Linked DNA regions of Arabidopsis thaliana. The protein of the gene in region 1 purifies or fractionates together with the protein of each later gene. This does not show direct contact. Each region holds a gene or a part of one and is shown in the gene's direction. Other genes may lie near its edges.

Region 1 (5,167 bases):
ACTATATTCTTAGATACGTGTACGAACGATTATTACTCTATTAGGCGTGAGATGCGTTACATTTTAAAATAAAAAAAAATCACACATTTAAGATAATTCTCCCAAGTAGTGATGGCTTATAATCCCACAAAAAAACCCTAAAATAACTAACAATTTTCAAAAGTACAGACGAATATATTACTTCTTCTTATTGTTTTTAAAAGTTGTGTTTGATTGAGATTACACACATTTAGGGTTTCAATCCCATTACATCATAAAGTCCAAGACCAAGTCTATCACTTCTTTTAGGAGTGTAAAATCAAGTCCCAAGTAATTATTTATGTTTCATTAGCAACTGAGTGAAAATTAGACTTCTTTGGTTGGCCAAATCAGGAGGAATATTAAAGGTATCATGGGTTTGTTCTCATCTAATTCAAAAATAACATTTTTGGGAAACAAATCTAGAAGCAAAAGGAAGCTATACATTTGGAAACAAATCACCAATTACTTCTTGATGTGGTGATATTCTTTTCTATCTATTACATGATTAGAAATGGTAATTGTTATGGAAAAAATACATGACATTGTTTTTGATTAAAAGGGAAAACAAAAACGTTGACTAACGCTTAAACAAGTGTTCCTCTCCAGATCGAGGATCTATGTGTTTAATCCAACGGCTAGGAATCTTCCTCAAACCATTACCACCACCACTGGCTCCCACGTGTACGATCTCTAATCCTCTCCCGACGGGTAAGAACACCGATCTCACGACACGTGTACCTCGTCTCAAAAGACCTTGCCATTTAAACCCAGGGATAGATTTCAGCGTGGCGTTTTTACACACCAAAACGGCGCCCATTTTGCTCGTTTTCGCTAATCCCAACGCGTTTACGAACTCGTGGCGTTTCGAATCAACCACCATGAAATCCACGCCGGAGATTCTCTCCACCACGTCCTCCGCCGAGTCTAAGACCATAACCTCCGTTGAGTCACTCGTAACGGCTCCTCTCATCACCGCCTCGTACTCCGACCTCGACTCTTCGTCAGGAACTATGCACACGTGTCTTCCACATGTGTGTATCGCTGCCACGGCGAGTCCGACGCTAGTTGCGATCGGATCTCCACGTGACCAAGTCTCAACGATCAGCCTCGTGTTCCATCCCGCCGCCGTAGCCGATAAAAACTCCGCCACGCTCGAGTCTCTGTAGCTTTTACACTTCAAAGACACACATATAGAAATAATTACATCAAGATTCTAAATTCATATATGTACATGATACATCAAGATCGACTAAATAAAAACCACATATACTTCACAGCGAAGAAAATATTAATTATAAGAACTATAAAAATTGTAATTCATATACATATTGAAGATTTCCTTGATCAAAATACAATTTAGGTCAACAAGTTGAATTGACGGTGAACAAACATGAACAAGAAAACAAAAGATGATGTACAAAATGCGCCATCTGAATTAGAGGAGGATTCTTACTGATCTAACGGTGTGGATGTAAGCGTTAGAGGCAGTTTCCGGCGACCAGACGAGCCTCATGATCGTATTCTTGTGTTAATATCTTGATAAAAATGTTTGGCTTTCGAGAGAAGAAAGGGTTTCTATATAAAGAGAAGTTGAGGAAAGGAAGGTGATGACAAGACGGTTAGGCAGTTAGGTTAATAAATGGGTGTGGTTTGGCTTTAAGGAATGGACTTAGCGTTGACATTTGTTTAACCCAATCATTTACGTGTCCTTCATTCCCTTCTATCTTCCCATTTATTTACTCACTTCGATTCTTAGATTTTGTTTTGAATAACATTTAATGTCGATAGCGAATTTATTTCTTTAGGTCTAGGGTTTAAATTCTACACCCTGTGCAACATATTAAATGACTTTTGATTATGATCATGTGTAATGTGTTAAGTATTCGTTTGGGACTGTGATATATATGTAGTGTAACGTGCTTGTTAGGTTAATGTGTATACAATGACGTTTATCCCTATTTTGTGTCTACATACATTGTGAATAGATCGGTATTGCATAAACCAATTTAGCTAGGTTCCGTTTTTGTTTAAAATGAGTTTTGCTATTAATGCGTCTTTGTTGTTCACTTATCCTTAGGTTGATGACTACTTGATTAGACTTCTAATCAGAACGATTGGATACTTTCTTATGCATCCTATTGTAATAATATAGTTTCAATTTAAAAGTTCATTACACAATAAACAACTAACAAAATTGTATACTTAAACCTGCTAATACTGATTATGAAAAAGAACTAAATGCTAACTAATTTAAAACTAACGAAAGTTTTTATCTATTTTCGAAACGGTAACGTTTACATATGTGTTGTTTTATACATGAGTTTCAAGGCCTCCTTTTGTAGACTTTTAATTTTAATTGGGCCTATGTATGAAAACTAAAGCCCATATAGATTAGGGAACAAAAAGACCTGTGGCACGACCATAAGATACGAGGTATATATAAAGAAGCAATTTAGGGTTTGTGGATTCTCTGAAGCGCAGCAGCAGCCGTAAGAAAGAAACCGAGGAAGAACGATCTCAGTGAGAGGACGATCACTTCGCCGTCGCAGTCATGGGTCGAATGCATAGTAGAGGGTTCGTTTCCTTCTCGTATCTGATTGAGTCTTGATTTGAAAACTTGTTCTCTTACATTTTGTTGTGTGTTCTGTAGTAAGGGTATCTCGGCATCTGCTTTGCCGTACAAGCGTTCATCTCCGAGCTGGCTCAAGACAACCCCTCAAGATGTAAGATTCGTAGACTTAATCTAGATTTCTGTTTGATTTCATTTTCAATTTGTGTTTCGAAAATGTTATCGCTACCTCTCGCATGGCTGAACATAGGATTTGATTCTAATTTTGGTTAGGAAATTTGGAATATGAGAATCTTCTGCATTTTAGTTTTGGTTTGTCATTGAATTTGATTTTATTGATGTGATTTGTTGTTTGTTAGTTTCAATCCTTTTGTGACATATTAAGAAATAGAGTTATGATCTTGATGTGATAGTTCGTTTTAGTGATTTAATCTGTTGATGAGTACTATCTGTGATGCAATCAATATTGATGTGTTTGCTTGCACTCTCCAAGTTAGCTTACTTGATACTTCTTTGAGAATAAAGTGTTTACTTTGATTGGTCCTGATGTTTGTTTTGATAATTGAATTAGGTTGATGAGTCCATCTGCAAATTTGCGAAGAAGGGTTTGACCCCATCGCAGATTGGTGTCATTCTTCGTGACTCTCACGGAATTCCACAGGTGAAAAGTGTTACTGGAAGCAAGATTCTCAGAATTTTGAAAGCTCATGGTACTATTCAATCTCTCTTGATTCTTTTGTAAGTGTTTGTTTTTTTTTTGCTTATTGAATAATCACTGAAACTAAGAGATCTTTTGTAATTCTCTCTAGGTCTTGCACCTGAGATCCCTGAGGATCTGTATCACTTGATCAAGAAAGCTGTTGCTATCCGCAAGCATCTTGAGAGGAACAGGAAAGATAAGGATTCCAAATTCAGGCTGATTCTTGTAGAGAGCAGAATCCATCGTCTTGCTCGTTACTACAAGAAGACCAAGAAGCTCCCACCCGTCTGGAAGTAGTAAGTACTTGAACATCTAAGAGTTCTTGATTATCATCTCTTGACTTTGAATTTTGATGCCAACTCTTGTTCTTGCTTTTGCAGCGAGTCTACAACTGCAAGCACTCTTGTGGCTTGAGAAGAATAGAGTTGATCATGTCCTTCAAGAAGGACCATTTCATTGTCTGCATTGCAACTCAAAGCTCTTCTTCTTTTGAACCTATGTATCTGTTTTCGCTAGTTTTGATGGGTTACAACTTGCTATGAGATTTTGATTTTAGGGAACGAATTTGTTTATGCGAATCTTTCCATTATCGTTACAGCTTATCTTTCAATTAACGTTAATTATCGTTCTCAGAGAATTTTTACAGATTATCTCCGCTAGTAGCGTCCAAGTTGAAGATAATTTAGTGTTGGGCTTAGATATTGTCTTAATACTTCTTTCAGTTGCATGTTTTTAATGTCTGTTCCTTTTAACTTATTGTTTAGCAAATTAGACAAAGACTCTAAAACTCCGACGATGATAAAACAAATTTCCGAGTCTACAAGCGCAGGCATTCTTGTGGTTTTTGTAATCATCAGATTGGCTAATACCTTGGAAATGAAGGAATCCTATAGAAGTATAGTTCTTGATGATCCTTCACCTAGATGGGATGGACATGTTAATGGAAGACATAAAAAAATTTGTAAGCTTGTAAGTGTTAGTTTGTAATAGAATTTCCGTTTTATGTTATACTCCTATAATTAAGTGTGTATGTAAAAGTCTAACGGTGTCATAACACAATCGTGTCGGTTGTGAATGGGTATCAGTGTCCGAGAAGTTACAAGTCGTTGCTTTCGTGTCTCAGTGAAATAAAAACAAGTTCCCACTTACTTTGTTCTCCTTCTCTCGACAGATAAAACAGAGCAGTTCTGGTTACATCATAAACCTAAATATGTTCTCTTTTCTTTTGCTCTTAAGTAACGAAAGAAGCAAAGTTCAACAGTAAGTTCAAATACAAACAGGAGAAAGATATAATTTGGAGGTTGCTCTGGTCATGCAAAGAATATGGTCATATGGATTGTCAATAGACTTTAGTGAAGGAAGGTGACTTGAGTCGAAATCAATGGATGATGAAATAGAAAGATGCTCAATCAATAGGAGTTTTTTAACATGACTTATAAGTTGTTGCAGAGAGTTCCTTCTTATCATGTGAAGTTTCTCACAGAGGCCAAACCATTTCAAAGTCTGCAGTTTATGATACAAGATCACATGTCTCAGTCCCAAGTGTCAACAACTTTTGGTGAATTTAGACAATGAAGAGAACGACCATAAAATCTAGGCAGGTAAGTACAGATACGTGTCACTATTGGTGGATTGGTTTGGTTCAGTGTAGCCATTGGTTACTTGGAGGAATCACAAGTACGTGCAACATAATCAACTTCTTGGAAAAACAATCAGCAAGTAGACATGTTTTTGGGATGGCTTTGATGAGAGAGTTTTTCACTGTGGCTTTTGCATACTCAGATCTAGTTGTAGGTCCAGGCCTAAGAACTTATGAGTAGACATGGCTTATAGTTAAAAGTGTTGAAATTGCAACTTGATGGAATGAGAGAGTTATG
Region 2 (5,438 bases), on another chromosome or scaffold:
TTCTCAAACTACTGCAAGGTCTCAGGTCCCAAAGTGTAACCGGAGGAAGTTATCAGCAGCCACCAACTGCTCAAATACTTCTGTAGGCCTCAACTACTTCTGGTTATAATACAAATGCATAAACGCTAGAAAAGAGGATTGCTTGCAGTGGGTTCGTTTGACCATCGATAGCATGATAAGTGAAGCTTTTATGCTACTGTTTTTCCCTTCTTTTTTTATAGATGAAAACATGGAAACATGTTTTATTAAGGTAATGCATCATGTAAAACCTTAACTTTTCACTGTTTTATTTGTTGCCTCAGTCAAAGACACACCATTCTCCTTTAGACACCTTTAACTGTGCTTTTATAAGCAGTGCGTTGTGTAAAAAACTGAAGTATGGGACAGAGAGCCAGGATTGAGAGGCTACAAAATACATTAGTTTCGCAGAAAACTAAAAAGCAAAGTGTAGTACGTTACGTGAAATCCCAAAAGATGGGTCAATTATTGAAGCGACAAGCAGAAATCCGAAACCAACCAACTTAAGCTGAAATAATTACTTGATGAGTTTTAGCACGTTGCTATAGCTTAACCGAGACTTTGAAGATGTTTTGAAGCAGCTAAAAGGATCCTTCTTCGTTTCAAGGTGCGATGACAAAAAGAGGCTGCATAATTTGTTGTATAAGTAACCATAAGTCAAAGATCTGAAAGAACTGTGAAAAAAATAAAAAACGAAGAGAGAGATCGGTACCGTGTCAACGCTGACTGGTTTTCCATCTTCAGCCAGTAGTTCCATGATGGTTCCTGACTTCTCAGCCTGTTTTCAAGACACGATTTCACAAGTTAAAGACTCTGAAACCTCAAATTCGCAAATTTCCAAGTGTAAGTTATCACAATGTTATAAAGAAGAATATCAGACCTCAATCTCGTTCATCAGTTTCATAGCTTCGATAATACAAACAATTTGACCCTTCTGTACCTTATCTCCAACCTGCAAATTGCAAACAGAAAACAAACCCACATCCATTTCAAATGTAATAACTGTTCATATCTCGATAGAGAGAATTTTCAAGACTTTGATTCAACTTCAACCAATAACAAATATTTTGCAGGTTTTTGTTTCCTTTCTTTCGTACCTTTACAAAAGGGGGTTCACCGGGTCCAGGAGATCTATAGAAAGTACCAGCCATGGGACTCTTGAGTGGAGGATGAGACGAGGATGGGGCGGATGTTGGTTTTGCTGTTGCAGGCGTTGAGGTAGGAGTAGGAGAAGGAGGAAGAGCCACTGGTTGAGCTGGAGGCATTGAAAAGTCTGCCATTACAGGAGGCATTGAGTGATAAACTGGAGCTGGTGGTACAGCTTGCTGTAAAGCTTCCTTCTTTCGAATAACGATCTCACAGTCGAGCTGCTTTAGTTCAAGTTCCACTATGTCTTTTGAATCCACAAGCCTTAATAAGATCAAAATGTTTAGTGCTTGACTAGTTCATCGAAAGAAAGCAAACTAAAGGATAGTAAGGGATTCATTGGATTGTGGACTTACTTAAGAAGACCAGAGACTTTAGCCATAAATTCAGAGAGCTCGGCGGGTTCAGGAACATTGGTTTTCGCTTTTCCGTTCATATACCCACCATTAGTCATTGGAGTGGAGTTAGAAACAACCTTGGTAAAGTCGAAATGATTAAGAAGGTTACACAGTCGTACAATTAACGTTTAATTGAATGGACCATTGTTGGTAAAAAAAACATGCAATCTCTACCTCATTAGTTGTTGCACGCAACCTCCAGAATGCAGAATGATTCTGCAGGAGAAGAACAGAACAGAGAATTATGAATCAATGCATACTAACTTTAAACAGTCACCAACTCGAGCACCATTGCAGTGGAAAACACACACAGAAAAAAGGCAAATCTTTTCGTAAAGGCTCACACCTTTTTTATAGAATCATCATATGCAAGAGAGGCAGAGAGAGAAAGAAGAGGAGCAGAAGAAACCTGAGAAACATCGGAGGGAAAGGAGATCCCATTGGGTTGCGGCTGCCATCTTTGAGTAGAGATTCCAGGGAGAGATCCGACCCGCCTGTTCAGAGCACAGATCTTGACGCAAGGTACCGACAATGACGCCATTGTTGAGACAGTGGACGATGAAACCGAGGAAGTAGGAAGGAGAGATATGAGAGTGTTGAAATGCAGTGTACTTGCTATATTTTTCTTTTCTTTATTTTTTCTTTGGTAAAGAAATCTGATTTCGATGCTTACGAAGAAACCCAACTCTTTTAACTAACTTCACCAAACCGCTCCTTTTGTCTTCTATCAGTTCAATCGTGCCATGTCATAACATAGTGCCTCGGTGTTTCTCTGTCTTATTTTTTAGTATATACACAAAATACACCAATATAGATAGATATAGATATGTATAGATATGTGTGTTCAGCTATACATGTGTTACTGGTCTAATCACCGGAACAGTCTTTCAGAGATTGCCTCCATGTAATCTGCATTTGTTTCACAAATCCAACAGTCTTTTTGATCCAATCTTTGGTCATAATGTCTGCAAGATTTAAAACTCAACAATATCCAGTGACACTTAACATATTTTATAGTTGGTCACTTCAGTAAATGCAGATAGGTGGGGTTTTATTGAAGACAAGACCATGCGTTTTTTACTCAGCTAAACTTGTCTGTGGCTTCTGGTCAAAAACATATCTTATCTTTATAACTTTCAGTAGCTAAAATAATAATTAAGACTGAACTACACTTTTAACTGAAACGGAGCGTATAAGCCGCTTAAATAGATTTAATGGCCCATAATGGGTTAGGCGGGTCGATTCGGGTTCAGTGTGTCCGAAAAAAACCCTAATTGAAAATTGATTGCTCAGATATATATAGACTTTGTGACTGAAAATTGAAAGCTCTTGGCTTAACTTAACGGAGTGATTCGTGAAATGGCGACTGGTAAAACCGTGAAAGATGTTTCTCCTCACGATTTCGTGAAGGCTTACGCTTCTCACCTCAAGCGATCTGGAAAGGTTAGTGTTTTGATGCTTCTCTCTCAAGTTTGATTGATTCAGCTGAGAATCGAAAGACGTCACAAAAGGATCTGATAATGAGTTTTAGAGGAAACAATTGAGAGTTTGAGGGAGCTTCTGATATTGTAGTTCAATGTGTTGGTGTGATTTTGAGGCATTGAATACTATAAAACGACTGAGGAAGAGAGAAATAGAGATAGAAATGATAGATTCTTGATGTTAGTGATCATAGGCAGCTAATTGGAAATTCACTGTAATAATAGTTGTCTCTTTTGTCTGATTTAGATTGAGCTTCCTCTATGGACAGACATTGTGAAGACTGGTCGTTTGAAGGAGCTTGCTCCATATGACCCTGATTGGTACTACATTAGAGCTGGTAAAAAAAAGCTTAGCTTTCTCTTCGCTTGTTTTTGTTTTTATAGAGTCGTTATGAACGTTGTTGATATCTTGTATGGTGCAGCTTCTATGGCCAGAAAGATTTACTTGAGAGGAGGTCTTGGTGTTGGTGCTTTCAGAAGAATTTATGGAGGTAGCAAAAGAAATGGAAGTCGACCACCACATTTCTGTAAGAGCAGTGGTGGTATTGCTCGCCATATTCTCCAACAGTTGGAGACAATGAGCATTGTCGAGCTTGACACTAAAGGGTAATTCTTATTTCTTTCTAAAGGCACTTTTCGTAGGAAGACCTTGTTAGTGACTTACTTTCATCTCTCCTCCTTTGTTCATTCTTTGTCTCAGAGGGAGAAGAATCACTTCGAGCGGTCAACGGGATTTGGATCAGGTTGCTGGGCGTATTGCAGCTGAATCATGAAGAGCTGTTGTTCTCCTTATGCTTGCTTTGGAGGAGCCTCAAGAATGTTATAGATCTTTTTAGCTTTTGTGATTTTAGATCTCTACTCTCTTCTGCTCTGTTCATTTTGACGAACTAATTTGATATTTGATGAAGCTATTAAAGTTTTGTTCTTTACAGTGATTTTGTATCCCAAGTTTACTCTTCTTCATAGAAATCTCAAGAAACAATTTACTCTTCTCTATGAAAACTCTTCTGGTATGTCAGTCATATACAAATTTAAATTGGAAGATGATTTAAAACTCACATATGTTTCTTGACCAGAACTAAACCAATGTACACCGGATTCTGCAAACAAATGTATGAGAGGTGGAACACGGATTGAATCATAAGATAAGTCAGTTAAATCCAAATTCAAACTGGAGGATAAGTATTATATCTTTCTGAACCAGATCAAACCAGATTTTGCAAACAATATGGAATCTTTCTCATTTTCTTGGGTGAAGACCAGATTATTATTACAAAGGTGAAACAAGAATGATTGTCAAATCTATGAAACTGCAACTAATTGGTTACAGAAAGGTAATGTAGTTTTGAAAATGAGAATATGAACAAGGATGATATAGTAGTAAATCCAAAAGAAGCTTTCTAGAGAAACTGATATTGGAAATCGCTCATGCAGGAGCCAGTTTCACTCCAAGAAGATGAACTGCAGCATCTGATCTTCTTGTGTTGCGGTATGTGAAACTTGGGATCTCGTGGTGCAGTTGGATGTTTGCTCGACCTTTTAATGGTAAAAGAAAACAACAAGAAGCAACTGTGTCAGCTTTTGCAATGACGTTCATTGTTATAAGAAAGTTTACTCTATTAGTTGGTCTGTGAAAACTATATTGAAAACATATTTCTCACTTGAAAACAATATCTATATTACCTATCATGCTCTCATAATAAGAAAGATTCAAGAGGATAGTATTTATGTACCAGTCTTTTACCTTCTTGGAATGAATGGTCGATCAAAGTATGGCATTGGTTGTGCTTTTGGGACCAATTCTTTCCTCAGCCTTCTTATCTCTTCTTCCTCTGCCAACTAAAAACAATATTGGATTTATCAAAATCAGTTAAAGCAAAACTCTATTATCGGATATGGCCACAACATCTCATATTAAAGTTTACCTTCTGTTGTCTTTCTCTTTCCATTTTGTATTGCTCAATGAAGCTCATCTTCTCGGCAACCTAGAACAACAAAAATTCAGACTTTAACATGAAGAAATTTATGGAACAATGCAAAGTTACTATAGACAAGTCAACCTTGGCTACAGACTACAATACACACTATTTGACACTATCAGCTATTTTCCTTTCCGTCTCAAGTCTTAACACAACCAGCTGATAAGAAAACAAGTATACTCTAAATGATTTGACAGAATGAAATGGTTACTGAAGCCAAATCATGTCAGCGGCTATGTTTTAAGGTATCTTGAACTTCAAGCCCAACAAAATGTAGATTTAATCATTGCATTAGCAAGGTTACCTGGTAATCAAATTCTGCGCGTTCAACTGCCCGGACATCTGAGTGGAGCGTCAAGTCGACTGGTCTTGTAATGTCTTTCCAATGAGGCTTCACTAGGCACTGAAACAGAAAA

Evidence for each region. The genes of interacting proteins can lie anywhere in the genome.
Region 2: the proteins of AT3G60770 (region 1) and AT5G15520 fractionate together in Arabidopsis thaliana (co-fractionation; one large-scale study listed by BioGRID). This does not show direct contact.

The regions. Positions count from the first base shown.
Region 1 is NC_003074.8:22,459,062-22,464,228, reverse strand, and holds AT3G60770 (Ribosomal protein S13/S15), read left to right. Parts: upstream 1-2,449; 5' UTR 2,450-2,572; coding exon 2,573-2,595; intron 2,596-2,671; coding exon 2,672-2,744; intron 2,745-3,161; coding exon 3,162-3,300; intron 3,301-3,399; coding exon 3,400-3,586; intron 3,587-3,670; coding exon 3,671-3,704; 3' UTR 3,705-4,040; downstream 4,041-5,167. Other genes in the region: AT3G60780 (hypothetical protein (DUF1442)), read right to left, coding at 599-1,195, 1,475-1,534; AT3G60760 (uncharacterized protein), read left to right, coding at 5,027-5,080.
Region 2 is NC_003076.8:5,035,620-5,041,057, reverse strand, and holds AT5G15520 (Ribosomal protein S19e family protein), read left to right. Parts: upstream 1-2,303; 5' UTR 2,304-2,921; coding exon 2,922-3,005; intron 3,006-3,290; coding exon 3,291-3,381; intron 3,382-3,465; coding exon 3,466-3,649; intron 3,650-3,743; coding exon 3,744-3,816; 3' UTR 3,817-4,037; downstream 4,038-5,438. Other genes in the region: AT5G15533 (uncharacterized protein), read left to right, coding at 222-239, 303-401; BCCP2 (biotin carboxyl carrier protein 2), read right to left, coding at 621-644, 731-796, 899-970, 1,116-1,428, 1,521-1,639, 1,737-1,778, 1,972-2,103; AT5G15510 (TPX2 (targeting protein for Xklp2) protein family), read right to left, coding at 4,470-4,671, 4,788-4,882, 4,969-5,028, 5,327-5,425.